Linked DNA regions of Rattus norvegicus. The protein of the gene in region 1 purifies or fractionates together with the protein of each later gene. This does not show direct contact. Links are inferred from orthologs where the notes say so. Each region holds a gene or a part of one and is shown in the gene's direction. Other genes may lie near its edges.

What was found.
Region 2: the proteins of Ppp1ca (region 1) and Ppp1r9a purify together in Homo sapiens (affinity purification with mass spectrometry; 3 studies listed by BioGRID and IntAct, counting the BioPlex papers as one, with this or other methods). This does not show direct contact. The link is inferred for Rattus norvegicus from reciprocal best matches to the Homo sapiens genes PPP1CA and PPP1R9A.
Region 3: the proteins of Ppp1ca (region 1) and Rassf8 purify together in Homo sapiens (affinity purification with mass spectrometry; 3 studies listed by BioGRID and IntAct, counting the BioPlex papers as one, with this or other methods). This does not show direct contact. The link is inferred for Rattus norvegicus from reciprocal best matches to the Homo sapiens genes PPP1CA and RASSF8.
Region 4: the proteins of Ppp1ca (region 1) and Ppp1r37 purify together in Homo sapiens (affinity purification with mass spectrometry; 3 studies listed by BioGRID and IntAct, counting the BioPlex papers as one, with this or other methods). This does not show direct contact. The link is inferred for Rattus norvegicus from reciprocal best matches to the Homo sapiens genes PPP1CA and PPP1R37.
Region 5: the proteins of Ppp1ca (region 1) and Ppp1r18 purify together in Homo sapiens (affinity purification with mass spectrometry; 5 studies listed by BioGRID and IntAct, counting the BioPlex papers as one, with this or other methods). This does not show direct contact. The link is inferred for Rattus norvegicus from reciprocal best matches to the Homo sapiens genes PPP1CA and PPP1R18.
Region 6: the proteins of Ppp1ca (region 1) and Ruvbl2 purify together in Homo sapiens (affinity purification with mass spectrometry; 4 studies listed by BioGRID and IntAct, with this or other methods). This does not show direct contact. The link is inferred for Rattus norvegicus from reciprocal best matches to the Homo sapiens genes PPP1CA and RUVBL2.
Region 7: the proteins of Ppp1ca (region 1) and Polr2e purify together in Homo sapiens (affinity purification with mass spectrometry; 5 studies listed by BioGRID and IntAct, counting the BioPlex papers as one, with this or other methods). This does not show direct contact. The link is inferred for Rattus norvegicus from reciprocal best matches to the Homo sapiens genes PPP1CA and POLR2E.

Annotation. Positions count from the first base shown.
Region 1 is NC_086019.1:210,913,049-210,917,517, forward strand, and holds the start of Ppp1ca (serine/threonine-protein phosphatase PP1-alpha catalytic subunit), read left to right. Parts: upstream 1-1,527; 5' UTR 1,528-1,595; coding exon 1,596-1,650; intron 1,651-2,108; coding exon 2,109-2,240; intron 2,241-2,372; coding exon 2,373-2,603; intron 2,604-3,107; coding exon 3,108-3,212; intron 3,213-4,163; coding exon 4,164-4,387; intron 4,388-4,468; coding exon 4,469-4,469. Other genes in the region: Tbc1d10c (carabin), read right to left, coding at 1-139. UniProt on the Homo sapiens protein: Protein phosphatase that associates with over 200 regulatory proteins to form highly specific holoenzymes which dephosphorylate hundreds of biological targets.
Region 2 is NC_086022.1:34,247,325-34,251,064, forward strand, and holds part of Ppp1r9a (neurabin-1), read left to right. Parts: intron 1-86; coding exon 87-285; intron 286-2,216; coding exon 2,217-2,336; intron 2,337-3,110; coding exon 3,111-3,134; intron 3,135-3,740. UniProt on the Homo sapiens protein: Binds to actin filaments (F-actin) and shows cross-linking activity. Binds along the sides of the F-actin. May be involved in neurite formation. Inhibits protein phosphatase 1-alpha activity.
Region 3 is NC_086022.1:180,449,421-180,453,729, forward strand, and holds the start of Rassf8 (ras association domain-containing protein 8), read left to right. Parts: upstream 1-1,326; 5' UTR 1,327-1,408; intron 1,409-4,309.
Region 4 is NC_086019.1:88,337,786-88,342,292, reverse strand, and holds the start of Ppp1r37 (protein phosphatase 1 regulatory subunit 37), read left to right. Parts: upstream 1-1,700; 5' UTR 1,701-2,069; coding exon 2,070-2,283; intron 2,284-4,507. UniProt on the Homo sapiens protein: Inhibits phosphatase activity of protein phosphatase 1 (PP1) complexes.
Region 5 is NC_086038.1:2,882,130-2,885,869, reverse strand, and holds the end of Ppp1r18 (phostensin), read left to right. Parts: intron 1-1,476; coding exon 1,477-1,684; intron 1,685-2,692; coding exon 2,693-2,712; 3' UTR 2,713-3,500; downstream 3,501-3,740.
Region 6 is NC_086019.1:105,037,928-105,041,901, reverse strand, and holds the end of Ruvbl2 (ruvB-like 2), read left to right. Parts: coding exon 1-75; intron 76-151; coding exon 152-245; intron 246-385; coding exon 386-509; intron 510-835; coding exon 836-930; intron 931-1,014; coding exon 1,015-1,133; intron 1,134-2,509; coding exon 2,510-2,629; intron 2,630-2,793; coding exon 2,794-2,923; intron 2,924-3,103; coding exon 3,104-3,218; coding exon of another isoform or gene 3,219-3,305; coding exon 3,306-3,331; 3' UTR 3,332-3,415; downstream 3,416-3,974. Other genes in the region: Lhb (lutropin subunit beta isoform 1 precursor), read right to left, coding at 3,536-3,778. UniProt on the Homo sapiens protein: Possesses single-stranded DNA-stimulated ATPase and ATP-dependent DNA helicase (5' to 3') activity; hexamerization is thought to be critical for ATP hydrolysis and adjacent subunits in the ring-like structure contribute to the ATPase activity.
Region 7 is NC_086025.1:10,316,095-10,320,354, forward strand, and holds the start of Polr2e (DNA-directed RNA polymerases I, II, and III subunit RPABC1), read left to right. Parts: upstream 1-1,263; 5' UTR 1,264-1,339; coding exon 1,340-1,396; exon of another isoform or gene 1,397-1,476; coding exon of another isoform or gene 1,477-1,509; intron 1,510-2,319; coding exon 2,320-2,494; intron 2,495-3,447; coding exon 3,448-3,644; intron 3,645-3,907; coding exon 3,908-3,966; intron 3,967-4,260. UniProt on the Homo sapiens protein: DNA-dependent RNA polymerase catalyzes the transcription of DNA into RNA using the four ribonucleoside triphosphates as substrates.

The DNA of each region.
Region 1 (4,469 bases):
AGTTGCCCCCAATGAAGCCATATCGGTCAGCCTGACGATATGGGCTGGACCCACTGATCTCTGAGTCGGACCCTAGAGAGCTAGAATCATCCTGTAGTTCTGACGGTAGCAACAAGTCCTCTCCCAGGGCCTGGGCCATTCTGCCCTAGACCCCAGTGTCACAGGCTGCAAGACATATAGAGAGCCAGTGTGAACAGCCAGACTGAGGCTGGGGTTCCAGGAACCAGTCCTCAGTCACGGGGGAGTCAGGTAGTCCCTGAGGTACCACAAAGACCAAGTCTCTGTGTAGAGACCCACCCCAGGCCTGGCCCCTAGCCCAGCTCACCTCCTTGCTGCACCTCACCTCCTCCTCTCACTTCCTCCTCAGTCTCAGCTTCAGCAGCCTATTGGGGGCCCCTCCCTGGTGGGGGGACTCCCCCCTTCCTCTATGAGGTTCTTCCTGCTTGCCTTAGTGCCTGAGCCACGGACTCCTCCCATCACGGATGGGAGGTGTGAAGAGTCCCCGACTTGCCCAAGTTGAAGATGACAGGCCACTATCGGTTTTGAGGTTACTTGCGTGTAAAACCAACTCATGGTTCCAGTAATAATTATGCTTTAATGTCGTCCCACCACTCCAACCCACTGTCCTGGGTTTTCTTTTTTGAGAGTGAAAGGGTACAGTCTGGGAACAAGGGTCTCACGTAGCCCAGGCAGGAGATGAACTCACTATGTAGTTGAGCATGACCCTGAACTTCTGATCCTCCTGTGTCCAGACTCCTGAGTGCTGGAATTTCAGGCACTGGAATTACAGGTTTATGATACATTGGGTTCTTTAATGTGTTACTGTTTAAAAATAATACCTTTCCCCCCTTTTCTTTCTTTACTTTCCTTCCAGAGCCGGAGATAAAACCTCAGGCCTTGCACATGCTAGACAAGTCCAAGCATTCTACAAAGGACTTACAACAGGAAGGAGATAAAATAGTATTACATCACTTAACGAAAAAAAAAACCTGACGTAGCAGGCACCAAGGCAACCTGGACCAAAACATTGCTTCGAGTTCAGTAGCAGGTGTTCATGGGTCTGGCCATAAAGACCGAGGTGAATGTGAGGCTCTGGAGGTTTGGAGCTCACTCTCAGTGTCATTGAGCCTTAGTTCCTTTTTCTGCACTTCGAGGAATTACTTTACAGTGTTTGAGAAGTCAGCGATTAACATGCTCACACCACAATCCCACGCAGGGCTGGGGTGGGAAGAGACTTGGAAAGAGAAAAACAATTTCTACAGTACTTCCGGTTCTAACTCATCAGAACGCAGCAGGGCGATTCCTCCTGGGTGGAGCCGACCCAACTCCGCCCTACAAACCCCGCCCTCCACCCCTGCCAGGCCTCGCCCGGCCGCCCGAGGCCCTCCCCGGCTGCAGTGCTTCCGGTCCAGGGGAGGCGCTAGAGAGCAGGGAACTACGGACGCGGCAGGGCGGGGCGGCCGGCCGAAGAGGCGGGGCGGCGGGCCGAGGGCGGGCTGGGGAGGGCGGAAGGAGAGCCAGGCCGGAAGGAGGCTGCAAGAGGGCGGGAGGCAGGAGAGGGCCCGGAGCTGGTGGGCCGGAGCGGCGGCGCCGCCATGTCCGACAGCGAGAAGCTCAACCTGGATTCCATCATCGGGCGCCTGCTGGAAGGTGGGTAGGGGTAGGGAAGGTGCGCGCGCGCCGAGCCTGGGCCCATCGCCGTCCGGAAGTAGAGCGCGGGCGGGCCCGCCGCTCTCGGGGGCTAGCGTCGCTTGGGCGGGGACAGGCCGTGAGGTTCTATGGCCACGGCAGCCCTCCCTACTCCCTGCGCCTAGGCTTTGGAGCGCGCTCCGAGGCCGGGGACGCTTGAGTGGCCGAGACTCAGGGTGAGACTCCTGCGAAGCTAGCTGGGAAGGGGTTCTGAGGCGAGGAAGCTTCGGTTGACAGGCTGCTGAGCACAGGCGTGTCTCTGGAGGGCCTCCGGGTGGCTAAGGGGTCGTATCTTGCCTTTGAAGGCCTGATGCAAAGGTTTCAGCGGGGGCTCCCTTGCAACAGTTGCTGGTGTTGGGGAGGGGCGCATGACATTCGGTCTGCGAGGTCAGGGTCCCAAGACCCTATTCCGTACCCAGTGCAGGGCTCACGGCCTGGAAAGAATGTGCAGCTGACAGAGAACGAGATCCGTGGTCTTTGCCTCAAATCCCGGGAGATTTTCCTGAGCCAGCCTATTCTTCTGGAGCTTGAGGCGCCTCTCAAGATCTGTGGTAAGCCCTTGCTCAGAACCCCTTAGCTTCCTCAAAATAGCCCCTTACTCCTGCCCCAGTACCTGTGTTTCCGTTGCTGGCCCTGGGTTCAAGTTTACATCTTGGACCTACCTAGTCTTCTCTGGTTCCCAGGTGACATCCATGGCCAGTACTATGACCTTCTACGGCTGTTCGAGTATGGTGGCTTCCCTCCAGAGAGCAACTACCTCTTCTTGGGGGACTATGTGGATCGGGGAAAGCAGTCTTTGGAGACCATCTGCTTGTTGCTGGCCTATAAGATCAAATACCCGGAGAATTTCTTTCTACTACGTGGGAACCATGAGTGTGCCAGCATCAACCGCATCTATGGCTTCTATGATGAATGTGAGTGCTTTGAATGTTGCTGGTTGCCCAGAACTACATTTCCTGCACTTCATGGGCCCCCTAAATTGTTCTAGTGCTGAGAACCCTGATGATGGGTCCTGCAAAGCCCCAACCAAGCTGTCTGTTATCCATGGCACCAAGGAAGGGCCTGGTGAATGGATGTACATGCAGGGCTGCCCGTTTGCTAAAGCTTCCTCCACAGCCCTGCCCGATGACACTTCCCTCTATTGCATCCCTTACTAAGCATTTAGGGTGCATGTTATGAATAAACCAGACACTGAGGTTAGGCCAGACTGGAGTTCAGGTTCTTGTGGACCCAGGTGTTGGAATTCTGGAAGGTAGATGAGGGCAGAGCAAGGAAACTGTAATAAGCTTTCTTTGCCTTCTAGTCTTTGCACTTTGTCAGAGTAACCCACAAAGTACCCTGGAGGAGTGCACAGAAAACTATAGACTGGGTTTTGTGTGGTGGGTGGTCTTCCCTACGAGCCATTTTCTTCTGTGCAGGCAAGAGACGATACAACATCAAACTGTGGAAGACTTTCACCGACTGCTTCAACTGCCTGCCCATTGCAGCCATTGTAGATGAGAAGATCTTCTGCTGCCACGGAGGTCAGGATGGTTGTGGGGTCTGTGCTTGGGCTATATCCTTAGGGGCCTTGGAAAGTTAACAGAACTCTCCTGTTTCCTGGAGTAGCTCTCCTTGAATTTGGCTGTCACTTATTACAGGTCACCCACAGCCCAGTTTGTTTTTGAGACAGGGTTTTTCTGTGTTCTGGAACTCACAAGAGTTCTGGTTATCTCTGCCTTCCAAGTGATGGGACTAAAGGCCTGCACCACCTCACCTGGCTACACACCCCAGTTCGACTGCGCTTTCCTGTTGTGGTATTTAGCATGCTATAGGCAACTCATTCATCTCCTTCCCCCACGGAGGTCTACTCTTTTTTTTTTTTTTAAATATTTATTTTATTTATTATATATGAGTACACTGTAGCTGTCTTCAGATACACCAGATCTCTTTATAGATGGTTGTGAGCCACCATGTGGTTGCTGGGAATTGAACTCATGACCTCTGGAAGAGCAGTCGGGTGCTCTTAACCGCTGAGCCATCTCTCCAGCCCGTACTCTTTGTACTTCTAAAAGCTGAGGGATGGCCAGGTGGCGGTGGCATACAAAGGGAGTTCCCTGGGTTGGGGATTTAGCTCAGTGGTAGAGTGCTTGCCTAGCAAGCACAAGGCCCTAGGTTCGGTCCCCAGCTCCGGGAAAAAAAAATGTTAATACATAAAATATCCAATAAAAAAAAAACTGAAAAAACATATTCCTAAAAAAAAAAAAACAAAAACAAAAACAAAAAAAACAAAGGGAGTTCCCAGACAGCCAAGGCCACATAGAGAAATGGGGCCAGCAGGAATATAATGAACTCTGTTTCCCTAAACTTAAGGAGCCCAAAAGATGAACCCAGCGTTGGTGGGGAAAGTGGAGCTGACCCCTGAGACCTTTCTGGGCATGGGATAGTACCTGCTTTTCGGTGTAAGGAACACTATTCTCACTCTACCACCCCAGGCCTGTCTCCAGACTTGCAATCCATGGAGCAGATTAGACGTATTATGCGGCCCACGGACGTGCCTGACCAGGGCCTGTTGTGTGATCTGCTGTGGTCTGACCCTGACAAGGATGTTCAAGGCTGGGGCGAGAATGACCGTGGAGTCTCCTTTACCTTTGGGGCCGAGGTTGTAGCCAAGTTCCTGCACAAGCATGATTTGGACCTCATCTGCAGAGCACATCAGGTGGGCTAGTGGCCTGGGGCAGGCTGTGGGGATGGCTAGCTGCTTAACTTAAGAGACCAAATGGTTCCTGTCCTTGCCCAGG
Region 2 (3,740 bases), on another chromosome or scaffold:
CCTATACCAAGAGTCTTGCTAGGACTGGGCTTAGTATGTCTTTTGTCATTTATTTGTCTAACATACCTGTTCTTTTCACCCCACAGAATCTTCAGAAGCAAGTTGGAGAACTGGAAAGCCAAACCAGCCTCTACAGTTCAGGCCTCCGCCCCCTCTCCTTGCATGCCTTTCTCATGGTTTAATGAAAGTCGGAAAGGATCCTATTCCTTCAGGAACCTGCCTTCAGCTCCAAATCCCCTCCCGCCTTCTCCTGAGACTCAAATTTCAGATAAAACAGGGTCCAAGGTAGACTACAGTGGACTGTAAAAGCTGACAAGAAAGCCCCAATCCTGTCCCCTCTTCAGTTTTCGGAAAGCCTTCTCGACCTGTGTGTGTGCTAACATTGTCCTAGGCATGCATGGTGTTTCCTTGTGGGGAAAGAAAGCCCCACCTAACCGGCACCCTCTTTAATACCGTTCTGTTTTAGTGTGTGCTTTTCTCTTCGATTTACCTGTCATTTCACTTCCTGCTATTTAATCTTTTTGACAGTTAAGCCATGCTGGGAAAGAGACATTTGGATGGTGAAACAGTGTTGGAAGATATTTACTAAGTATTCTTCTTTAAATTGCATTATGAAATGATTTCACTGTGCTCTTCAAGATTTACTGGAAAAGCAGATAAATTTGGGACTGACTGTGTTCAATATATTTAAGTGAAGCAAACAGAAAAACAAAGACCACTGGCATAGCCTTACTTACTGTTTGTATCAAATGTCCATGCAGAGCACTGGTTCTAATTCTCTTTAGTGTTAGCAGAACTGCACTTGATGTATATGTGTGGGTGTGGTGCATTTCAAAGTGTGTGATGGTTATTTCCAGCATGACACTGCGAGGCTTACCTAACATCGTACTGACACACGTGGTGGCTAACCTTCATGGAATTTGGTCTCCTCTTTTTACTGACACGCGTGGTGGCTAACTTTCATGGAATTTGGTCTCCTCTTTCCTGTGTTCACTCTTCTTTCCCAAACAGAAGCCAGAGGTTAATCTGACTTAAACTGAGTTCTTCCCTTGAGGTCAGCAGCTCGAAGGGGTTTGACCTAGGGGCTAGAGGTTTGCATCTCCAGCAATCAGACCAGAGGGCGATCATGCTTTGTGTACCAAGCCTTGCTGCTGAGTGTTCTGATGACCACTCCTCTTTTTAGGAGATTTATCAAATCTTGGAGTTGGTTTGGTACTAAATTCCCCAGTCTCTGGCCTGGTCTTTATTCTCAACAATCAACTAAGCCAATGCAAAAGGACCTAACAGAACTAACAGTCTGGAGAAATGCTGTGTGAAACAAGGTGGAGTTCCTGGGAGTCCAACCACTTGACAAGTAGCCAAAGAAGTTTTGTGATGATGACCCTTTGGGCCCTTTAGTACTGTTCTGAGACCCACGTTCGCTTGAGTGATCCTAACATTATCTACCCTAGAAAGAGGTTCATTATAAAATGTTTGCACAAGTAAGGCTCTGCGATCATTGTCAAGTTGTTCTAACATCTGCTGAGCATGTTAAAGCAATTCCAGGGGAATTCATTTTCTCCCACATCCCACCTCACTAACCCCAAGAGGTTATGCAGCCTTCTGGGTCTGTTCCACCCTGCAGTCTCTTTGCTGTATGCTGGTGCCATGAGAGAGTTATAAACCAACATGTAACTAGTGTTGTATTGTCAGACATGCCCTTCTCCAGAACTCATCACTCTGAAGGGTCCATCCAGGAGGGGACCTGTCACTTCTCACAGTGTTTATCACAGCCAGCCACACAGCATCTTTCCCAGGGGCTCTCCAGCTACCTTCCTGATATGAGTCGCCATCTGTCCCTGATAACTCAGCCTCTCCACACCATCTTGTATTCCTACTTACACCGTTTCCCGTCACAGTTAGGGTCAAAGCATGTGGGCCTATTAATATCACTACTCTGAGCACTGGCAGAGGGTAACGAATTCTGAACCCTTGGAGAAAAACTGGAGAATCATTGCTGTCTGCCACCTATTCTTACATCAATGGAGAAGGTGCCCAGGATTTCCAACCAGGCTTCTTCACCACTGCTCGACTGAAGGTTGTCCCCAAAGCACACTTGAGTCTCTTCTGAAGACAACTGATTAACATGAAGCAATTGAGGCCTTGGGAGCACGCCTGCCGCTTGTTCACTCTGTGTTCATTTAATACGGTTGTGTTCTTTTTTTTTTTTTTAACAGAATTTCACCTTCAATGATGACTTCAGTCCAAGCAGTACCAGTTCAGCAGACCTGAGCGGCTTAGGAGCAGAACCCAAAACGCCAGGGCTCTCCCAGTCCTTGGCACTGTCCTCAGATGAGGTACTGTAGTGGCACCATGGCAAAACTTAGTTCCTATGTCCTTTACTTCCTCCATATCCCTCTGTGGGAAGATGACGTTCGGGGGAAGCTTCGGCACAGAAGGCATCAGCACTGAGGTTTTATGTTTAACACAAAATCCCCATGATTCCATTCACCTTGCCTTAACATTACAGAACACTTTCTAAGCCCCTTGAAGCTTCCCGGTGATCCCACTATATATGTAAATGCTAATGTTAGAGGCTGGCCACTGGAGATCAAGACTAGACAAACAGTTTAGGTCACCTGGAAGCTGTAAGTTATCTGCTCTCTCTCTCCTTACAGAGTCACCCATACCCCCCGGACTCTGAGAGTTTTCTGGCTATGATATGCCCCCTGTTGAATCATTACCATCAATAGGCATGGTTCTGGAAAGGAAATAGAGTTAGAATCATTTATTCAGAGGCTAAAGTGAAGATTAGCATTGCTAAGAATTACCAGGAAGTATGTATGCAGGTGATAAGCGGAAAACTAGGTTGGAATTGATTTAGTTCTAAAAATAAGTGGGAGTCGGGGCAGGAAATAATGTAATTAGAGTGTTTTTCTTACATATGAAATAATTGTTCTTAATTCTTTGTAACATGAATTATAGAAAATAAGCCTTTTTCCCTTTAAATGTTTCTGGACGTGTTTTCCTGGCTAGGCTTGATTCTAATGTTGTAGAGCGTGCACGTGGGTGTTGTGTGTCCCATTTCTTTAACATTCTTCTTCTCGGTTCTTTTGTTGCTGCTCCCCCAGAGCCTGGACATGATAGATGATGAGGTGAGCTCCCTGTGTGTTGTGCGTGGTGCCTGTCTCGTTCGAACCTGCTTTTTGCTCCTTACAAATGACTTATGAATCCAACACTAAAGAACGCTTTCCTCCGAAGTGGAGGGGGGAAACCCTGCAATTGTTTGCATTTGACTTAAAAGATGTTCCTGGATCAAGATGTCCCCTCCTCCAGAGTCCTAAGCCCCGCCTCCAGAGTCCTTCACTCACCTCCCATAGCCATTACCTGACATGGTCCATTCTTTTTCTTATCCTCTGCCTTTCCTCAGCTCACACTCTTCTTCACATGGCTCTCTCTTTCCTCTGAGACCTGCCACTGCCTCATCTTCTCTCAGCTCAGTGGCTCTGGGAGCTGCCATGCCTCTTTATGCAAATAAAGAGAATGGTCTAGAGTGGACAGAGCCTGGAATTTGCACTGAGCGTCTTGTTAAGCTCTTATTGCTTGCACTGTGTTGTCTAAGAGAGCGTGTGTGGACTTTCTGATCCTCAGTTCCCTCATGTCTTAAAGGAACCGTGGATGCCAGTGTCCCCCTTCACACAGATGGGCTTCTTGCTCAGATAAAACAGTAGCTGTGAAATTTCCCTAAGGAGGCTTGAGAG
Region 3 (4,309 bases), on another chromosome or scaffold:
TTTCTCTAGCTCTGATCTAAATTCACTGCCTTTAAAATGGGGATACTACTGTTAGCTGGAAAGCCATGACGGACAGGCACCTAAGATGTGCCTGGCCCCTCTTTGTCTACAATGGCAGCAGCTCCCATTTCTTCTCCACACTTAGTCTGTGCTGTCCAGACTGGCAAACTCTCCCTTTCCTGTTCTGAACTCCTCTATCCCAGCAAGGTGTCTTGCTCATTGCATTCTGTCCATCAGCCCTCCAAAACAGTTGACCACAAAATATCTCAGAAACTTGTCTGATTTTCAGTCTCTGCCGTCGTGTTGGTTAGTTCAAGCTACTCTGACCTCTCTTAAGTCCCCTGGTCTCCTTTGCCCCTTCCTGTTTGTTTTCTTGCTGATAGCCCGAAAAAGAAAGTCAATTTTTCTACGGGCCTTCTAGATTCCCAAGAATCCTTGGAGTAAGGTACAGAATCTCCAGCAGGCCTTCCTGTCCTGTTCCTTAAGGCCCCAGCCCCTCACCCACATCCCCCAGCATATAGACCAGTTCTCCAGCAGACTGGCCCCAGGGCCCTTATCCCAGCTGCTGAGTAACCTCTCATCTGTGAGTACTAGCTGCAGAATTCTTTCTCATGGAAGTCTTCTCTGAGAAGGTCACCGTTTTCACGTCTGTTAGACCCAACTTATTTCTTCCATAAGGACAATCATCCTTAATTTGCCACAATTTATAATTGTACTATATTTTATTGTTCACCCCCCCATGAGCAATAGATAGTGCCTGCTTTACTCTCCAGTCCCTGGTATGCACAGCGGTGCTCAGGGGATAAAGTGGTACAGTGTCCATTTCTCATGTATGCCTTTGTTTGAAACGGTCTCACCGTATAGACCAGGCTGTCCTCAAACTCTCAGAGATCTACTGGATGCTGGGATTGAAGCACTCGGGCACCAGCACACCCACAAGGCATTTACGTCTTTCTTAATAGTCCTCATCTCTGTGATACTTGTGTCAGAAAAGCCAAACTAGCCTTTCTGTGTTCCAGTTTTGTGAGTGATCTGGAACAAACTTTTAGCATCAGGTAAAAACAATCCGTCTGTGGTTTGTAGAAAATGCATGCTAATTAGACACCTTTTAATTAGTGTTGCACATTCCACTTTTCTAGCTTCAGCATTGAAACAACTGTTTTATTAGCGCAGGGTTACAGAATGGAAATGTGAATTCTGCTGTGCCTGATGTTTTACAGTGTGACACAGTTGTGGGCCAGACAGATGATGTGACTGCCCAGTGCCAGATGTCCACGGAGGTTGGGGAAACTGCCGCAGGCAGAGGAGGGCAAGGTCTAAGGATGCCCACGTGTCCTGGCAGAGTGTGATATTCATCACCAGATGCCATCTGAGCCCAGTGGAGAGGAGCAACAGGAGCCACCTAGAGGTGGGGAAGTTCTTTTCCTTTCTCACTAAAACCGTTTTTAAGTTAAAGTAGGCATGACCGTCCATAGCCAAGGAAGCTTAAAGCGCTGTTGGTTTTCTGTCCTGTGGTTGCCCCGCATAAAATCCTGACTCAGTGGCCTGCAGCTCAGCGATGCCTCTGCTGCTCATGCTGCAGGTGCCTGTCTTACAATACTTCTGCTGTCTCCTGACTGTGTTTCCTTCAGTTACTACTCACCCTTAGAGCACACGTGACCCAGCTTCTTTCTTGTTGGTCAGGGAATGCACCAAGGACTTTGGATCTATTGCTGTCCTCAGAAGGGAGTCCTCTGCACACAGCCTCTCGGTCCCCTCTGTGCTGGATGGTGAACAAGAATGATTACAGACACCTTTGAGCTCCCACAGCATGCCCGATCCCATGCTAGACATAGTGAGGAGAAGGCGATAGGTCTTCATGCCTTCGTTTTAGTCAGAGAAACTAGTCCCCTTCCTTTCGCTTCATCCCACTGAAGACGGAGCTGTGCCTTCTGGAGGACCTCGTGTTTTACGTGGAGACTCAGATTCATCTGTGTGAGAGAATGGGAGTGGTTTTGGAGGGGGTCTGGCATGTGACCTGCTTTGTGCAGGACCTCTGTGCCCCAGGACATTTGTGTCACCGCTGTAGACATTATTGTGGTTGGGCACCCTTGTGATGTTTTGGTGTCTTGGGTTTATGTGCCTACTGGCTACCTAGACTTGGACAGTTGCCTGGAGTGTCTCGGCACCAATACCATTCATTTCCCGGTCCTAATGTCAGATGGAGGTTGGTTTTAGTTGTTTGTATGTTTTATACATTCAGGTTTTATCATCATGCTCAAAATAATTAATTTTAGAGCTGTCCAGGTTTATGCATTGTAGTTCACTTCACTAAGCACTCAGATTTTACTCTGTTTTAGGGGAAAAATGTAGATGTAGATGTAGATACAGGTTATAACAAGAGGGAAGTTGTAGCCACTCTCTTCCATATTTTATTCAAATAGATGTTTACATTGTCTTTCTGCTTGATTATCATTGGCTTCTGAGTGCTAAATCAAATTTATCATTAAGTATAGTAGTTTTATTATTGGAAAACTAGTCAAAATAAAATGATCCTTTCAAATATAAGTATATATTGTAAAAAATTAGACTTCCTTTATTGGGTAGATAGTCAGAAAAGTAGAGTAAGAATTTCTTGTTATTTTTCTTTAATAGAGTTGAATGGATTTTTAACATATGCAGCTCTGCTATGGAAATGCCATTGGCGAATAGGTTAGGCATAGTGGTGTCGGACTCTTAGTTAAAGCTTAGCCATTTAGGCAAGAGATTGTATTACTGGATGTATTAGAATCTGTCAAATACAAAATAGCTTATTGTATCTTAGCTTCCTTATTTTTATGTGTACAATAACTTTTCTTAACTTATTTGCTCATTTTAAATATGTCGCTGTATTATTTGTTTATTTGCTTTGTGTAAATGTCTGAGTCTGAGGACAGTTTGTAGGAGCCCCTGTTCCCCTCCTGAGTAGGTCCTCAGACTTGGTAGTGAGCTGGGCTCGCTGAGCTGTTTTGCCAGCTTGCTCAGATGAAAATTGTCATGCGCTAGGCTGCGCGTGCCTGACTGCAGTTTTACAAGCTTTGGTGTAGGTCTGTGAAGCCCTTGCCACCGCCAGCACAACAGGCCTATCTGTCCTCCTCCCCAGTGTCTCTCTCTGACAGTGACGATGTCCCAGCTTCCCCTCCTTCAAAAACTCCACTCTGCCCTCTGTCCCTGTAGCTGCCTGCCTCTTCTAGAGTTTGAGCTGAGTGGAGTCATTAATGTAATGTCTGACTCTGTTGGTATTTGTAGCAGTGGGGCTGGGGGGTAGCTCAGTTGGTGGACTGCTTCTTGCCCTCATGAACAAAACCCTGGCTCAGTCTCCAGCACTGTATAGGCAGGATGATTAGAAATTCAAGATCACCCTCCATTGCTTGTGAGTTCAGATGCAGGCCTGCTGTCCCACTGTATCTCCACTCGCTTGCCTGTGGTTAGACTTCTGAGCCATTGCCTTTGGTTGTGAGCTTAGCTTTTAAAGAAAATGCCAGAATGTTTTCTAAGTATACTCTACCATTTTACATTTGTTTTGTTTCTGCTTTGCAGTGTTTGGCTGGCCTTGAACTGACCTCTAGAGCTGGGAGAGGGGGTCGGGGAGGGTATTTATAAGCAAGTGTGCACCACAACTGCACCTTCTCCGTGTGTGAACACACTCATGTCTTGCTTGCTGCACTTGGTATAATCAGTTTCTTTTTGTTAAGTGTTCAGGTGTGTCCACTGGTGCGTTTCATTGGCCTTGTCTAATGATTGATGTTGAGCGTCTCTAAGTCCACTTTTATTTTATTTTATGTGTGTGGGCATTTTGCTGGCTCGTGTGTCCTCTGAGGTCAGAGGAAGGTATTGGATCCCCAAGACTGGAGTTACAGATGGTTTTGAGCCACTGTATGGGTGCTGGGAATTGAACCCTGGTCTTTTTTGTAAGAGTAGCAAGTATTCTTAACTGCTGAGCCGTCTATCCAACCCTGTTCGCGTTCTTAACTGGGTTTTAAGATTACATTTTGAGAGGTTCTGTGTACTTGGGTACAGTTACTCATCAAATAGATTCTCTGCCAAAGTGTCTCAGTCTGACACCTGCCATTGACTCCGTGTGGGACTTTCTACGAGAGAGAGTTTTATATTTCAGTGAAATCTCTCTGATGGGTTTTTCTTTTATTGGTGGTAGTTCTATAATGTGGTACTCAAGACATCTTTGTTAACCCAAAGTCTTAACTATATTTTCCTATGTTTTCTTCCAAAAGCTTTATACACCAGGTTTTAGACCTATGATCTATTTCAAGTTAATTTTTACACAGTGTGC
Region 4 (4,507 bases), about 120 Mb from region 1:
TGAGGAATCCAGATAACAGTGTGGGGCTTGCACTGCTCCTGGGGTCCTCCCCAAATGGCTGTCATTCTCTGCACAAGAAATTGACCTTAAGCCTATTTTGAGGTGGGCAGGGATGGCCTTTTACTAGAAATAGTCTTGGCTTACACCAGGTTACAAGGTTCCTCTGGGTGATGTGGTCCACTGCAGTCAGCTGCAGGTTTGTTTTCCCACTGAGGAGACAGGGAGTGGTGGTGGTGTTCGAATTTGTGTGACAGCCCGGGAGCAAATGCTGCAGGTTGGTGGTTAGCATTGAAGATTTACCCTTCCTCAGTTTGCTCCACCTCCTAGTGAGAAAGTCTGTGTCACCTGTTTCAGTCCCTTGTCACTAGAAATCTTTCAGTAGATGATATCCAAAAGCAGTTCCTAGCTGAGCACAATGCCCTAAGCCTGTAATCCTAGCCCTTGGGGTGGGGAATGGGGTGTAGAGGTAGGAGAGCCAGAGATAATAAAGCCAGTCTTGCCTACATGGTAAGTCAGAGGGCAGCCTGGGTTACGTGAGAACCAGTAAAACCAAACCAACCAACCAAACAAGAAAACCTAGTTAATGCCTTTTATTGAAGTTCAGAATGTAAGTGAAGGCTTGCATTAATTATAGGGGGCTTTTGGTAATTCTCAGTCTCAAAAGTGTGCTAATCCACAATGTGAAGAGGGAAACAGTTACCCTGAGCAGTAGCCTTAGTTGCTATCAGTTCACACCGCTGCCTCTCTCCAGCCCCAGCCCAGCTCTCTAGTCCAGTTCAATCAAGTCCAGTTCTACCATTTCAGTCCCTTGCACCAAAGGGTTGACCCTTAATAAGAAGGGAAAGCGAAAGTGCCGAGATGAATCCGAGCTATGAAATCGATCCCTTGGAGGTGTGGCCTGGGTTCGCTCGGGTTTGGTCAGCTGATTAATCTCGAGCTTTTGGAATTCCGCTCCCAGTTTGTTTTTTAATCAGGTTCATGAATACCCAGCATTTACATTTGATACAATTTTGACGAGACAGTGAAGCTAAAGTCTGCTCTTCTGTCGCTTCTGTCACCTGCACGTACTCATCCTATATTCAGCTCGGCTCTCTTGGCTTTTCAACACCTCCATCACTTTACCCTGCTCCCAGTACTTGGCTTAGCCCCGCCTGGGTCTCACTCTGTAGCACCTGCTTGTCTGAGGCTCCATATGTAATCCAGTCTGACCTCGAATTCACAACCTCCGCCTTCAGCCTCTCCGAGGCTAGGATCACAGGCGTGTCACTACCCTGTCCAGCAGGTAGTTTTTAAATTAAGGACTCTGATCCTTATTTTATATTTTAAGTTTTTTTTTTTTTTTTTTTTTTTTTTTTTTTTTTTGTGGACGCGTGTGTAGAAATCAGCGGACAATTTTGTGGCGGCAATTCTTGCATTTTACGTGAGTCTCTGGTATCGAGCTCAAGACGACTTTTACCGCTGACGCAGCGCTTTTGCAGACCGCGGTGAAAGGATTTCTAGTGAATTCTTTCCCGAATTACTTGGACTTGTGACGAATGTGCGGGAGCCTAAGTGTTGACAGCTGGGCTGAGGGCGGGGGGGTTAGGGGGCGGCGGCGGCAGCGGCAGCGGCTGAAACTCGCGCATGCGCGGCGCTCGGGGGAGACAGCGATCATAGGCCCCGCCTCTGTGTTCTGCAGTTCTGGCTCTGCAGATTCGCTGCTCACGTTTCTCTTTCCCGTGGAGTCAACTGTTCTTTGTTCCCGTCTTCGTGTCGCCCTCGAAAAGATTATTTTTTTCAGAACAAAATCTCGAGTCGGGGTTATGCTTTTCTCGGTACGCAGCGGGCGCCTTAGCTTGTAGCGAAAGTGTGGCTGCGGAAGAGCAGGTACTCGCGGAGCTCGGCGGAGGCGCGTTGGGGCTCCCGGCGGCGGCGGCGGCGACGACGACGACGAACGGAGCAGACGGAGGCGGCGCTTGAGGCAGCGGCCAAGCCCATGCCCCGGAACGGCGGGAGGACCCGGAGAGACGAGTCCGGGGCCCGGGGCATGTCCCCGGGGCCCCCGTGAGGAGGAGGAGGCGGTGGCGGCGATGGAGATCCCGCCGCAGGAGGCTCCGCCCGGGCCGGGCGCGGACGCCGACGCAGATGCCGAGGCCGAGGAGGCCCCAGCCGAAGCTGGGTCTTCCAGCGGAGCTTCGCCCCCAACCGATGGGCGCCTTAAAGCTGCGGCCAAGCGTGTCACGTTCCCGTCGGACGAAGACATCGTGTCCGGAGCTGTGGAGCCCAAAGACCCCTGGAGACACGGTAGCTGTGGCTAGGGTTGCGGGAGAGAGCCTAGGGGCGGGTGGGACCGCCAGAGCGCCGACTCCTACGGAGGTGGCCCGCGGTAAATGTCACTTATCGGTGGTTTCAGCGGTTCCTAGGTTAGAGCTGGAGGCAGTGGTGTTGGCGGGAGAGTTGGAAAGGTGCACAGGATTGGGTTTTCAAACCCTAACCTTGTCTGGGAGTTTGGGAGGCTGGCAGCCAGCCTTTGAGTTCATGGTACACCCAGGCAGGAATAGATGAAAAGAACCCGTCTATAGTATTGGGGGAAAGGTAAGTGAGTCCACGGGGCGGTGAGAGCAGAACCAGCTGGTCTGTAAACCAGGACGCAAAGGGTAGCCGGCTATGGCCATTGCTTTTCTGGCTGGAATGAGAACGGGAAATAAACCCAGACTGTACAAGAAGTTGGTAAACCCTCCGACTGGGAAAAGAGGGTCGGAGGCAGCAGGCTGAGAAGCAGAGGGCGAGGTGGTCAGTTTGCCTGTATGCGAGGAATTCCTCAGTAAGGTTCAGCAGCAGAACGTGGAGCCCACTTTTACCAGGGTCTTCCTGGGGAAGGACTGGGGAATATTACCTACTCAGGTGTTTCTGGTCAACAGAAGCCGTTGGGAGATGGGAAGATCTAAGATCTAGGCCTGTTGGAGAAGGTTGGTGGGGAGGTAGAACTGGACGGGCACTTGGAGGTGTGCATTGGCTTTGATGGCTAGGAAAGATGAAAGGTTTCGGAGGAGACGGACTCAGGCTAATCCCGTTTCTGAGCTGAATTGTGTTTTGCTTGGGTGGAGCCTGTGAAGTGAGGTCGCCCACTGGCCATGTTCCGTAGAAGCTAACCTGCTTGTCTGGGAGCAGACAGACACTACTGCCAGGCTGTGGGCAGCAGAGTGGGCAGCTAGTAGCTTTGATGTATGTGAGGGCGGGGACTTGGTTGCAGGAAATGATACACTGAGAGCTCGCCATAAATGCCAGTTTGACTAGTAATTATCAAAGAGACCAAGGTTAATTTAGATTTGACTTGGGGAGCCTGCCAGGGCCGGGTGGTTTGTTTAAGGTTCTGAACTTCTTGGAACTGGTGCTGAGGACAGGAAGAGTCCAGTGGACCCTGGCAGCAACCCGATGTCCACTGTGGTGAGATCACAGCAGGAATGGGAAAGTTGGAGCAGTGTGGCCATTCAGAAGTGGTTAAGAAACCCGGTGTGGCTGTATGCAGCTGTGAGCCTAGCGCTTAGAGGCCAAGGCTGGACCATAGAGTAGCCATTCTAGGGGGGCTTGAACTGCATGGTGAAACCCTATTTCGTTATAAAAATAAAAGGGGAAAAAGAAAGGCTAGCTTGATCAAATTCTGATTTTCTCATTTGCTGTCTTTTACAAACTGCTGAGAAGTTGCCTGGATCCCCTGAGCCTCAGAACCCCCCTTCCCCAGAATGACTGACAAGAGCAGTGGCCCAGGGTCTGCCAGAGACTGAGTGACATCACACATGAACAGTGCCTGGTGAGGGTGAGCCCTCTTAAATCCATGATGATTATGAAGGCAGCACTGAGACCTGGAAAGAGCTTGCTCTTTAGTCAGGGCCAAAGTCAGAACCTAGAACCTTCCAGGATAAGGGTCAGATGGTGGGGCCTGGAGGTCAGGGCACCTGGAGGGTCAGGCAAAGTTTCTGGCCCACCGTTTTTCTGAAAAGGCTAAGCCTTTTATTTATTTTTTTAATATTTATTTAATGTATATGAGTATCCTGTTGCTGACACACCAGAAAAGGGCATTGGATTCAATTACAGATGGTTGGTTGTGAGCCACCATGTGGTTGCTGAGATTTGTACTCAGGACCTCTGAAGAGCAGACAGTGCTCTTAACCACTGAGCCATCTCTCTAGCCCCCCCCCCTTTTTTTTTTTTTACATAAAATGGTCTTATGTAGCACAGATTGTGTATGGCTAAGGGTGATTGAACTTTGACCTTCCCACCTCCCTCTCCAGAATGATGGGATTGCAGGTCTGTGCTAACACTCATTTTATGCAGGTCAGGGGATAGAGTCCAGAGCTGCTTACTGCTTGTCAAGCACTGTGGAGCCACGCTTGCAGCATATGTGTGTGTGTGTGTGTGTGTGTGTGTGTGTATATATATTTTTTTTTTTTTTTTTTTTTTTTTTTTTTTTTTTTTTTTTGGAAACAGGATTGAATTGGGTAGTCCAGGCTGTCCTCCAATGCATGCC
Region 5 (3,740 bases), on another chromosome or scaffold:
ATGTTTAGGGACTCTTCTGTATGCTGGGCATCCCTTGGCTCGTCTAAACCTTTCCGTTGTCATCCAATCCTGAGTCAGGAGTGCCCATCTGACTTCATGATTGTTTGTTTTTAAATACCTCTGCCTCACAGCAGTGAAAGATAGAGACCCGAATTCTGCCTTACTTACCTCGTTGCCATGGCAAAGTCTCTTTTTTGGGGTGTGTGTGTGTGTGTGTGTGTGTGTGTGTGTGCTTATTTTTAAAGTCAAGGTCTCTATGTAGATCAGGCTAGCCCCAGACTGGTCACCTGATTCCATCTGAATGTCAGCTTTTACTCTCTTGTATTTCATGTGCATTGCTGTTTTTGCCTGGGTGAGGGTGTCTGAGCCTCTGGAACTGGCGTTGTAGACAGTTGTGAGTCGCCATGTGGGTGCTGAGAATTGAACCCAGGTCCTCTGGAAAGAGCAGCCAGTGCTCTTAACCACTGAGCCATCTCTCCAACTCCTCACCCCTTTCTTTTTTTTTGTTTTGTTTTTTTAAGATTTATTCATTTATTATATATAAGTACACACTGTAGCTGTCTTCAGATACCAGAAGAGGGCATCAGATCTCTTTACAGATGGTTGTGAGCCACCATGTGGTTGCTGGGAATTGAACTCAGGACCTCTGGAAGAGTAATCGGGTGCTCTTAACCGCTGAGCCATCTCTCCAGCCCACCCCTTTCTTTTTTTAGACAGAGTTTGATCTGCATGGAAGGCTAGCCTGGAATTTGGTGTAATCCTCCTGCCTCATCTTCTCTCTCTCTCTCTCTCTCTCTCTCTCTCAAAAATTATTTTTTTTCAAGTTTATTTATTTACTCTATATAAGTACACTGTTGCTGTCTTCAGACACACCAGAAGAGGACATCAGATCCCATTACAGATGGTTGTGAGCCACTATGTGGTTGCTGGGATTTGAACTCAGGACCTCTGGAAGAGCAGTCACTGCTCTTAACCGCTGAGCCATCTCTCCAGCCCTCTTGAACGCTGAAATCGCTGCCTCGAGGCACCACACCTGGGGTGCAGAGAGACACCTGACATAACACACTGTGAAGGTCAAAGGTTCCAGAGAGGCCTGGCTACAATCGCTCTCACAGCCCAGCCAGTGTTTTGCAAGCCTGTGTACGTGTACACTGCAAGTATGCCTGGAGCCTGCAGAGGTCCCGGAACTACAGTTACAGATGGTTGTGAGTGCTGGGAACTGAACACAGGTCCTCTGCAAGAGCAGCGAGTGCTCTTAACCACTGAGTCATCTTCCCAGCCTCTAAGTGTTGTTTTGAATGATGCCATTAGACGGAATAATCAAGATGTAAAGGAAAGCCGAACCCCAAATGGATGGAAGGGAAGGTCTGCGGGGCACCTAAGCCCAGCCCCGCTCCACTTGCCTCTGGTCTCTCAGCCCTCCCTGGATCCCCTAGTGATGAACTTGCCTCCTCTCCCCTCTCTTCCTACTCTCAGCTCAAGATCTCCTTTAGTGAGACAGCACTGGAGACCACATACCAATACCCTTCCGAGAGCTCGGTACTGGAGGATCTAGGCCCGGAGCCTGAGGCCCCCACTGCCCCCTTAGCAACGCAGCCTGACGATGACGAGGAGGAGGAAGAGGAGGAGTTGCTTCTGCAGCCCGGGCTCCAGGGCGGGCTGTGCACCAAGGCCCTAATCGTGGGTAAGCGGCTGCGGCGTGGTTGGCGTAGGGCGCCCCCTGGTGTTCATGGCTTTGTGGTACTTTGAAGGAGCTTGGTCCAATTTGCTACATCTGCTGATTCCTGAAAGCCAGCACACTTGGAGTCTCCAGATTTCAAAACCAGAGCTCGCTCGTTATCCAGATCTCTAATCTGGTTAAAAATACCCGTGTTGGGTCAGGCGGCATGGAGTCAGAATTCCAGCTCGTCTGTTACTTAGTTGTGATCCTGAATCAATCCGAGCTCGGTTTCCGTTTACCTTATGTGTGGCGTGCGCGCCTGCACTCCCAGATCCCAGAGCATGCTAGGCGGGTGCTCTGCCGCCGATCGGTATCCCCAGTTTTCATTTATCATCCTTTAAAATAAAGTTAACAGTTGTGTGCTGGGCCTCCGGGTGTGTAGCTCAGCGATAAGATTGCTGCCTTGAGCTGAGAAAAGTGACTCATGCCTGTAATCCTATCACTAAAGCGGGGGTAGATCCGCCTAGTCTACACAGTGAGTTCCAGGGCACCCTGGACTATTACAGATCGAGACCCCATCTGAAACGAACAAACAAAAAGGTTGTGTACCCCGCCTTAATTGATAATAGCAAGTACTTTTTTTTTTTTTTTTTTTTTTTTTTTTGGTTCTTTTTTTCGGAGCTGGGGACCGAACCCAGGGCCTTGCGCTTCCTAGGCAAGCGCTCTACCACTGAGCTAAATCCCCAACCCCAAGCAAGTACTTCTTGAAGTTGTTTGAAGACTTGAGTAGATTTTTGTAAAGCACCTAGGTATACATAGCTAGGTATTAAATTACTTCACCTTTGCTGAGACGATTGTGAAATTAAACAAGATGCTCAGCACAGAATCCAGTTAACCGTGATGATGACCACTGTTCCACAGCCAACATGTTACAAAGACTTCTCTTATACCAGCCACTCTTCGGTTCTGGGGATGCGTGGGGAGGCGGAGGCCCTCTCCGCTTCTCTGGATTGATTACCTCTTTTCCTGCAGATGAGTCCTGCCGGCGGTGACCATCTTCGAGTTTGGGCATATACCTCTCTCCTTCTCGCACCTGAAGATTCTGGAGCTTGGATGATTCAGAGCCGACAGACATGGCAGTGAGCCCGCCTGGCAGGGAAGGGCGACAAGCGAGCGAATTCGGACTTGCTTTTCCCATCCTGTTCCTGGGGCGGAGCCGGTAGCCTAAATTGACCCCTAACCCAAAGTTCCCGGTGGGCGGAGCATCCTCGGTGAGCTAAGAGTGAGCATCAAGTCCTGGGTTGGAATTCAGAATTTATCTGGAATTGAGATGGAGCACCTCCAGCCTCACAGCCTTCCTTAAAGCTCAGCCACTCTCCGGGGATCCCGCTCCATCCACGAACACCCCCTTTTCTAGGTCACTACCCCTTTGTTTACAGCTTCCCTCTTGATCACAGCCTGGTTTACATACCCACTAGCTCCCAATCCCACCTGCAGAGTCCCAGGTTTACAAGCCATGCCTACCCGCGGAGCCCCTGTGGGATCCTCCACCTTCCCTTTGTTTCATTGTGAGTGACTTGGGAAGGTGTGTAACCTTCTTCAGCTTTGCTCAGTATTACTGTGCCTCGGTTTCCCCCAAGAGGGCAGGCTGGGGATCCTAATCCTGAACCCCATGAAAATTATTTAATTCTGTTCCTCCACGTGGTTCACATTGAATTGAATTGCAGTGTGGGGGGCGCTCAGGAGGCGCCTCGCTTCTCCCCATTGCTCCTTGGTCAGCTGCCTGGTTTGTTTCGTTTTTTGTAACTTTCCGTAATAAAATGGAGCTCTTTTCAACTCTCTTGCTGTCTTCCTTTTCTTTGTTTCTTCTTCTTTTTTTTTTAAGATTTTGTTTATTTCATGTATATGAATACACTCTAGCTGTCTTCAGACACACCAGAAGAGGGCATCAGATCTCATTATTATAGACGGTTGTGAGCCACGATGTGGTTGCTGGAATTTGAACTCAGGACCTCTGGAAGAGCAGTCAGTGCTTTTAACCGCTGAACCATCTCTCCAGCCCAAGAGCATGTCTTAATGT
Region 6 (3,974 bases), about 110 Mb from region 1:
CACGGAGATGGAGACCATCTACGATCTGGGTACCAAGATGATCGAGTCCCTGACCAAGGACAAGGTCCAGGCCGGGTGAGCCACGGGACCACAAAGAGGCTGGGCAGTGAGGGGAGTGGAACCCTCTTACTCTTTGCTGTTGCTCCTTCAGGGACGTGATCACCATCGACAAGGCCACTGGCAAGATTTCCAAGCTGGGCCGCTCTTTCACACGTGCCCGAGACTATGATGCCATGGGCTCCCAGGTGCTTGGCTCATCCCCAACCCAGCACTGGAGTGTTTCTCCATCTTCTGTTATGTCATGGGGTTGGATGCTGGGTTACCTCCCAGTGTGGGGCTCCAGGCTGTGTCCTGGCTGCCCTCACACCTGCCGTTGACCCTGTAGACCAAGTTTGTGCAGTGCCCAGACGGAGAGCTGCAAAAACGCAAGGAGGTGGTGCACACCGTGTCCCTCCATGAGATTGACGTCATCAACTCCCGCACTCAGGGCTTCTTGGCTCTCTTCTCAGGTCAGCTGCCCTTCCCCCAACACCTTGAATGCTCTGGTACATCCTTTGTCTCCCTCAGCGTGGCTCACCCCCACCCCCAGCTTTTCTGCCTCTTTCTTGGCGCTGTTAGCTTTCTTTACAGACTTGCTGCTTGTCTCTGTTCCCCGTCTGAGTGTGTCCTTCCCTACACTGCCCTCGAGTCCTCCCTCGGGTCACTCCCTCTGTCCTTTCTGGCCCTGCTGCTGCAGCCCAGAGCCCTCCTCCCCAGTGCTCCTCTGTCTCTCTCTTCACCCACCCCGGTCCTGGGCTCAATCTCTAATTCTAACTGACACCCCCATCTCTGGCAGGAGACACAGGGGAGATCAAGTCAGAAGTCCGAGAACAGATCAATGCCAAGGTGGCAGAGTGGAGGGAGGAGGGCAAAGCGGAGATCATCCCTGGGGTGAGTGGCCGCAGCCCAGGAGGGTATGGTTAGCCCTGAGGTACCAGGTGGAGAGAGCTTGATCTGTGCCCTAATGGCTTCCAGGTGCTGTTCATCGATGAGGTCCACATGCTGGACATTGAGAGTTTCTCTTTCCTAAACCGGGCCCTGGAGAGTGACATGGCGCCTGTTCTTATCATGGCCACCAACCGAGGCATCACCCGGTGAGCAGCTTTAGAGGCCTCTGCAGCAAGGGCACTCTGGGCCAGGGGTTGATGGTGGCCTCAAGGTGAATGACCATCTGCTGAGTTCCTCTCCTTACTCAGCTTGCCTCCAGTGTGGTCCTCACAATCCTGGACAGATAGAAAATCTCTTCAAGTTGGATTTAAACTTGTTGGAGCAGGCACCCAAAGGGCCCTGGGAAGTTTACCCTATGCTGAGCACGGGGCTATCTATTAGATATGTCACAAACTGCTGTGATCAGTCCGTCACTCAGACCCCGCCACTTAATCGTCACAGACCACATGTATTGACCTAAAGACACTGTGGACACTGGGCATGTCAGCTCCAACCACAGTCCTGGTAATATGGAGGCTGAGAAAGGACTCAGTTCTAGGTCAACCTGGGCTTCATGAGACCCTTTGTAGATAAGAGAGTATACAAACTGGTTTGGATAGCCAGACTTTTCCTGACGATGGCTCATGACTTCATCAAGCACATCACCTTGTCTCGTGTTTTTAGCATGGCGTCTTTGTTGTTGTTGTTGTTGTTGTTGTTGTTGTTGTTGTTGTTTGAATGTGGGGGAGGCAGTATATGCAGGTATGAATGTAGGTGTGGGCAGAATCCAAAATAGTATGGCAGGTCCCCTGCAGCTAGACTTAGAAGCAGTTGTGAGCTGCCTGGTGCAGGTCCTGGGACTCTCCCTGGGCTCCTCTGTAAGAACAGTATGTATTCTAACCATCCCTCCAGCCCCTCTTTCTTCTCTGACTTACTTTTATGTGTGTGTCTGTGTGTGTGTACACATGCATGTGGTACCCACAGATGACACAAGTTTTCAGGCCCCCTGCAACTGCAGTTAGGTGTAGCTGTGGTGAAGGCGGATGGCACACAGCCCTAAGAGGCTGGGACCTGGCTACCTTGCCTGCACTTCATTCTCCCCACTACTCCCACTTCACAGAGTAGATCAGCAAAGCTGAGCAGCTTGCCCAAGGCCATAGATGTGAAGGTAGCAGGGGGGAGGGGAGGCAGCCCTAAGGTCCCCTTTGCTAGTTGATGTTCACTGCAATTCCCCAGTCCCTGAAAGTCCATGAGTGGTAGGTTAGATCTGGCAGCTGTCCTGAGCCAGCCCCTGGAGAACAGTACTCTCATATCGATGGCTAAGCTCCCATGCCTGGAACAAACTGCCATGGGTCCCATTGCTCACCAGGAACTGGGTTTGCCAGGGCAGCAGGGCACAGGACAGCCGCTAGTGTGCACAGCTGCCGAGAAGTGTGTTACTGGGGATGAGAGCCAGTGCTCACAGTTACTGAGTTCCCAAGTGGGCTATGGTGGCACGTATGTTTTTGAAAAGCATCCATTAACAGTTTTCCCTGACCCCCAGGATCCGAGGCACCAGCTACCAAAGTCCCCACGGCATCCCCATTGACCTGCTAGACCGGCTGCTCATTGTGTCAACATCGCCCTACAGTGAGAAGGACACCAAACAGATCCTACGTATCCGGTGTGGCATCTGCCCCACACTGAGTCGGGAAAGATGGGGTGGGAGGCCCTCCTGTGCCCGTGGCTCTTTTAGCCTCACCATCCGTGGTTCCGAGACCCCAGTATCCATGCATATTATGGGATGGGTGGGTGATATGCCTGCCGTTTTGGCCTGCCTTCCCACAGCTGTGAGGAGGAAGATGTGGAGATGAGTGAGGACGCCTACACAGTGCTGACCCGCATTGGGCTCGAGACCTCCCTGCGCTACGCCATCCAGCTCATCACAGCGGCCAGCCTGGTGTGCCGGAAACGAAAGGTCAGCCAGCGAGTTAGCCTGGAGGACTGAGGGGTGGCCCTGGGGTAGCCCTTGAGCCATGGTACATGGATATTTAGTGGGGACTAAGAACCACAGCCGGTGCCCGGGCATTTTAGAGAAAAAAACCTAGTGGTGGGGGTGGCCCCGTGCTGACATCAGCTGAGCCCCACCTGCTCTCAGGGCACGGAGGTGCAGGTGGACGACATCAAGCGCGTATACTCCCTCTTCCTGGATGAATCCCGCTCCACACAGTACATGAAGGAATACCAGGACGCCTTCCTCTTCAATGAGCTCAGTGAGTATCCCAGGCTGCTGCCACTGTGGGAGGGGCTGCATGGGAGCACCCAGGAGCTCCCTCACATTTGGCTTCCCCTCTCTGCAGAAGGTGAAACAATGGACACCTCCTGAGCTGACACTGCACCCCAACCCTTCCCAGCCTGTTTTCTACAAGTTCTAACACTGTGACTTTGTATAAAATTATTGAAAACTGGAGTTCTGCTGTATCCTCAGATCACACAAAAGGACATCGGAGTGCAGTTGTAAAGCCTTTATTGGGAGGGATGGTTAGAACACCTGCTGGCTCCAGAAGAATGGGGAGTTAGTGGGTGGGCATCAGAAGAGGAGAAGGCCGGGGAGGTGGGGAAGGTCACAGGTCATTGGTTGAGTCCTGGGACCCCCACAGTCAGAGCTACTGAGACGGCAGGGCCCACAGCGGCAGCTGAGGGCCACAGGAAAGGAGACTATGGGGTCTACACCAGGTGGGCAGCCAGGGAGGCGGACAGAGGCGAAGCGCAGCTCACGGTAGGTGCACACTGGCTGAGGCACGGGAGGCAAGGCAGCTGGCAGTACTCGAACCTGAGTGCAGGGTGGAGAAAGTCCTCATCTGAGTGTCCCTCCCCTGTGCTGCGCCCCCTCCCCACCCCCTGCAGCCATTCTAGGCAGAATGCCCACCTGGTCCTGCCCCCACAGTAGCTGTGATCCCTGCCCAGGTGCCATCTCCCTGTACCCCACTGCCCCCACCTGTAGGACTGCTAGCAGCACTGTAGGGCGG
Region 7 (4,260 bases), on another chromosome or scaffold:
TGCTAGAATCAAATGCCTCTCTCTCTCTCTCTCTCTCTCTCTCTCTCTCTATATATATATATATATATATATATATATATATATATATATATATATATATATATATATATATACATATACACTGTCACTGTCTTTGGACACACCAGAAGAGGGCATCGGATCTCTTTACAGATGGTTGTGAGCCACCATGTGGTTGCTGGGAATTGAACTCAGGACCTCTGGAAGAGCAGTCAGTGCTCTTAACCACTTAGCCATCTCTCCAGCCCCTCAAACTCTCTCATTCCCCATGCCCACATCCCCTTACTTTGCACCCACAGCTCTTAGCCAACTGTAGCAACCACAGCCCCTCAGCCCTGGTCTACAGGGCATATGGTGGGTTCAGTGATCGGTGCCCTTGGCCAAAACTTGTCTTTCCAAGTCAGGATCAGCCTAAGTTTCCATACCAGAACCGGTCATGATCTGTAGACCTCAGTCAGACTCACATCAGGACAGAATGGAGGGTACAGTCCGCATCTAGATTTCCAACGACAGCCCTTGCCAGTTGCGATGGTACAAGCTTTCAATCCCAGCACTGCGGAGGCAGAGGCAGGGCATGCTCTGCGCTGTTGAGACCTGGTTTACATTCTAACTTTCAAGGCAGCACGAGTAGCCCACCACATACACACTTGTTTGTCGATTGTCTATATGCCTATATGTCCATTTTTTCCTTCTAGTTTTTAGGATTTTAATCATGTGTGTGGGTCTGCATGTGGGTTTAGACATACCCAGAGGCCAGAGGCCCCAGATCCTCTGGAGCTGGAGTTACAGATGGCTGGGGGCGCTGGAATCCGATTTCTCATACAAAGTGCAAATATATTAATAAAAACTTATATAAAAAGGGAAACTGAGGCACATGAACCTGGCTTTTCATCATCGGGCTCCCCCTTTCTTTCTTTCCTTTTCTTTTTCGAGACAGGATGTCCCTGGCTATAGACCAGGCTCGCCTCAAACTCATCGACTGCTTGCCTCGGTCCGGGATTAAAGGCGTGAACTACAGCCAAGTTTTCTTTTGCAAACGCCTAGTGGGAAAATACTAAGGCAGGTCAAGTATCGCGCGATCTTCCCGTGTGCGATCTCGCGCAGACACCGCCGCGGTAAATGCTGGGATTGCCCACCGCTCAACCTATCCTGGAAAGTTGGTGTATTCCGGCGATCACCTAAACCAAACCTGGGCGGGGCCTTCTCCGCATTCCGCGCAGGCGCACTGTGCTGGGGGCGTGCACTTTATGCTGTCCCGCGCAGGCTCAGTCCTGGTAGGTCTACGAGCGCGCGTGCAGAGTTGTTTGTGAAGTGCGACAACATGGACGACGAGGAGGAAACGTATCGGCTGTGGAAGATCCGCAAGACTATCATGCAGGCGAGTTGCATGGGGAGGTTTTGAGCGAGCGCTGAGCTGTGGACTAACTGCGGTTGTCTGTCCGCTCAGCCCAGCCTCCAATGGGGGCTAATCCTCTTGCTTCAGCCTCCCAGGTAATAGGATGCATCCCCTCTTAAAGTGTGGAGTCCACCCACCTCAGTTGTTGGCAATCCTCCTGCTTCAGCCTCCTCCCCCTGCCCCAGAGGAAAAGTCCTAGCTGGACTCTCTGCTTCGGAAACGGGATACATGGCTGCTACACGGTCACACCTGGTTTACGGGGTGTTGGGAACGAATGGTTTCCTCAGTACTAGGGAGCCTCACCATCGACACCCACATGGTAGTTCACAACCATCTGTAACCCCAGTTCCAGGGCATCTGTGGCCCTTTTCTGGTCTCTTGGACACACGTAGGATTAAAAGAAGCTATTTAAAAAAATAAAACAAGCCGGCATGACGGCGCACGCCTTTAATCCCAGCACTCTGGAGTTAGAAAGAGGCGGATCTCTGAGTTAGAGGTCAGCCTGGTCTACATGGTAATTTCCCGGATAGACAGGGTCACATTCACGCAGAGAAACCCTGTCTGGAAAGAAAAGGGAAAAAAGGAAGACATTTTGGTTGTTCGAGTTGAGTAGATAAGACCCCAGTGGAGAAAGAGGTATTAATAGTTTTAATTTATGCTGTGTTGGGTGGAGCCCAGGACCTGATCTAGGCCTCCTCAGGCCTGTTCTCAGCCCTCATTAGGAGGGTCCAAGACAGGAAGGTTGCCAGGTCATTGACCCCAGCCTTCTCTGGTGAGGCTGGAGGGAAGGGAGGAGGCTTGGCTGGGGCCTCTGTAGTCTCAGCCTATGCAGAATTTGGGTACTGCGGGTCAGTCAGTGTTAGTCCCCAGCTGTCCTCTAGCTGAGTACTCTTCTCTCTCTACAGCTGTGTCATGACCGAGGCTACCTGGTGACCCAGGATGAGCTGGACCAGACACTTGAAGAGTTCAAGGCACAGTTTGGGGACAAGCCCAGCGAAGGACGGCCGAGGCGCACAGACCTCACCGTGCTGGTGGCCCACAACGATGATCCCACAGACCAGATGTTTGTCTTCTTCCCAGGTGAGGGTCCTTGGGCTGGCAGTAGTGGCATCCTCTGGGGGCCTCCAGTTCTGGTGGCAGCTGCCTGCTTTGTCCCTGTCTTCCCCTGGGAAGCTTCCATTTCACCGGTGTCCTTTTTGCCCCTGAGTCCGCAGACCAGTGCTCAGTCCCCCTGCTCCTGTTGCTGTAGTCTACAGTTGCTGTCTGAGGCCCAGGCGGCTCTCGGAGGTTTGTGGTGCTCTGCAGCTCCTCCAGTCTCCGCAGGCAGCTTGTTTCCTTTAATACCTGATGTTGATGCCTGGGGCCTGGGGTTTTAGTGTGAGAATTGGGGGTGCAGGGATGGGCATGGTAGCATGTGTTTATAAATCCAGGAGGCGGAGGCAGGCAGCCGAGGCCAGCCTGGGCTACACAGTGACTTCTAGGACAGCCAGAACTATGTAAGGCAGTGGCTGTCAGCCTTCCCGACAATGGGACTCTCCATGTTGTGGTGACCTACAGCCATAAAATTTTCATTGCTGCTTCCTAACTAATTTTGCCACTGTTATCATAATGTAAAAAGGTGTGTAGAGTCTGGATAAGGTCCGATAATTTGCAGACTAGGTGACTAGGTGACCTGGACCTGCTCTTGTGCTCTGCGTCCTAATGCTCCAGTAAACCCCACTCTGCCTGAGGAGAGAAGGCTTAGCCCCATGTTAGACACAGGGTCCACCTCCTGGTCAGACAGTTTCTCCTTGAGGCTGCCCAAGCTGACAATACCATATTCCACAAATCTCAGAGCTGCTGAGAATTTCACCCCCTGGATCAGGAGGGGCGGACAGTGCAGCTTTCTTCCGCCATGGCTGCCCCGTGATAGCCCCACCGCGGCTGGCTTTGCGTTCTGGTCTTCCTTTGTGAGTGGAGAAGCTAAGTCCACAGGCAGCAGGACATCAGGGACTCTAGTGGTGGGTGTGAGGGTCACACTTGTGTGCCTGCAGAGGAGCCCAAGGTGGGCATCAAGACCATCAAGGTGTACTGCCAGCGCATGCAGGAGGAGAACATCACACGGGCGCTGATCGTGGTGCAGCAGGGCATGACACCCTCCGCCAAGCAGTCCCTGGTAGACATGGCCCCTAAGTACGTGCTAGAACAGTTTCTACAGCAGGAGCTGCTCATCAATATCACAGAACATGAGGTGCGTGTGTCCCAGGGAAGGTCTGGGTGGCATGGCGTGGTCTGGACAGGATACGGGAGGGCCCTGGATCTTCCCAGTCTCAGGCCGTGCCATTCATAAGCTGGGCAGGGTCGTTCCCCAGTTTTAGTGCAGTGGCCTTGAGCATCCAACTTGGTGATATTAGTAGCCTGGTTGTGTCCTCTGTCCCAGCCCTGTGGCAGTACCCATTAGCCTGTTGAGTCTGTCGGTTTCTGATGGCCGCGGGTGGGTCTCTGTTTCCACAGCTAGTCCCTGAGCACGTGGTCATGACCAAGGAGGAGGTGACGGAACTGCTGGCGCGATAGTATCCTTTTTTTTTTTTTTTTTTTTTTACGTGTGAGGCTATATGCCCATATGCACAAAGTAGCCTCTTTTTTTTTTTTTTTTTTAAGATTTATTTTATTTATTATATATGAGTACACTGTAGCTGTCTCCAGATACACCAGAAGGGGGCATCAGATCTCTTTACAGATGGTTGTGAGCCACCATGTGGTTGCTGGGAATTGAACTCATGACCTCTGGAAGAGCAGTCGGGTGCTCTTAACCGCTGAGCCATCTCTCCAGCCCAGATAGTATCCTTTTTACCCTGTCCCCGCAT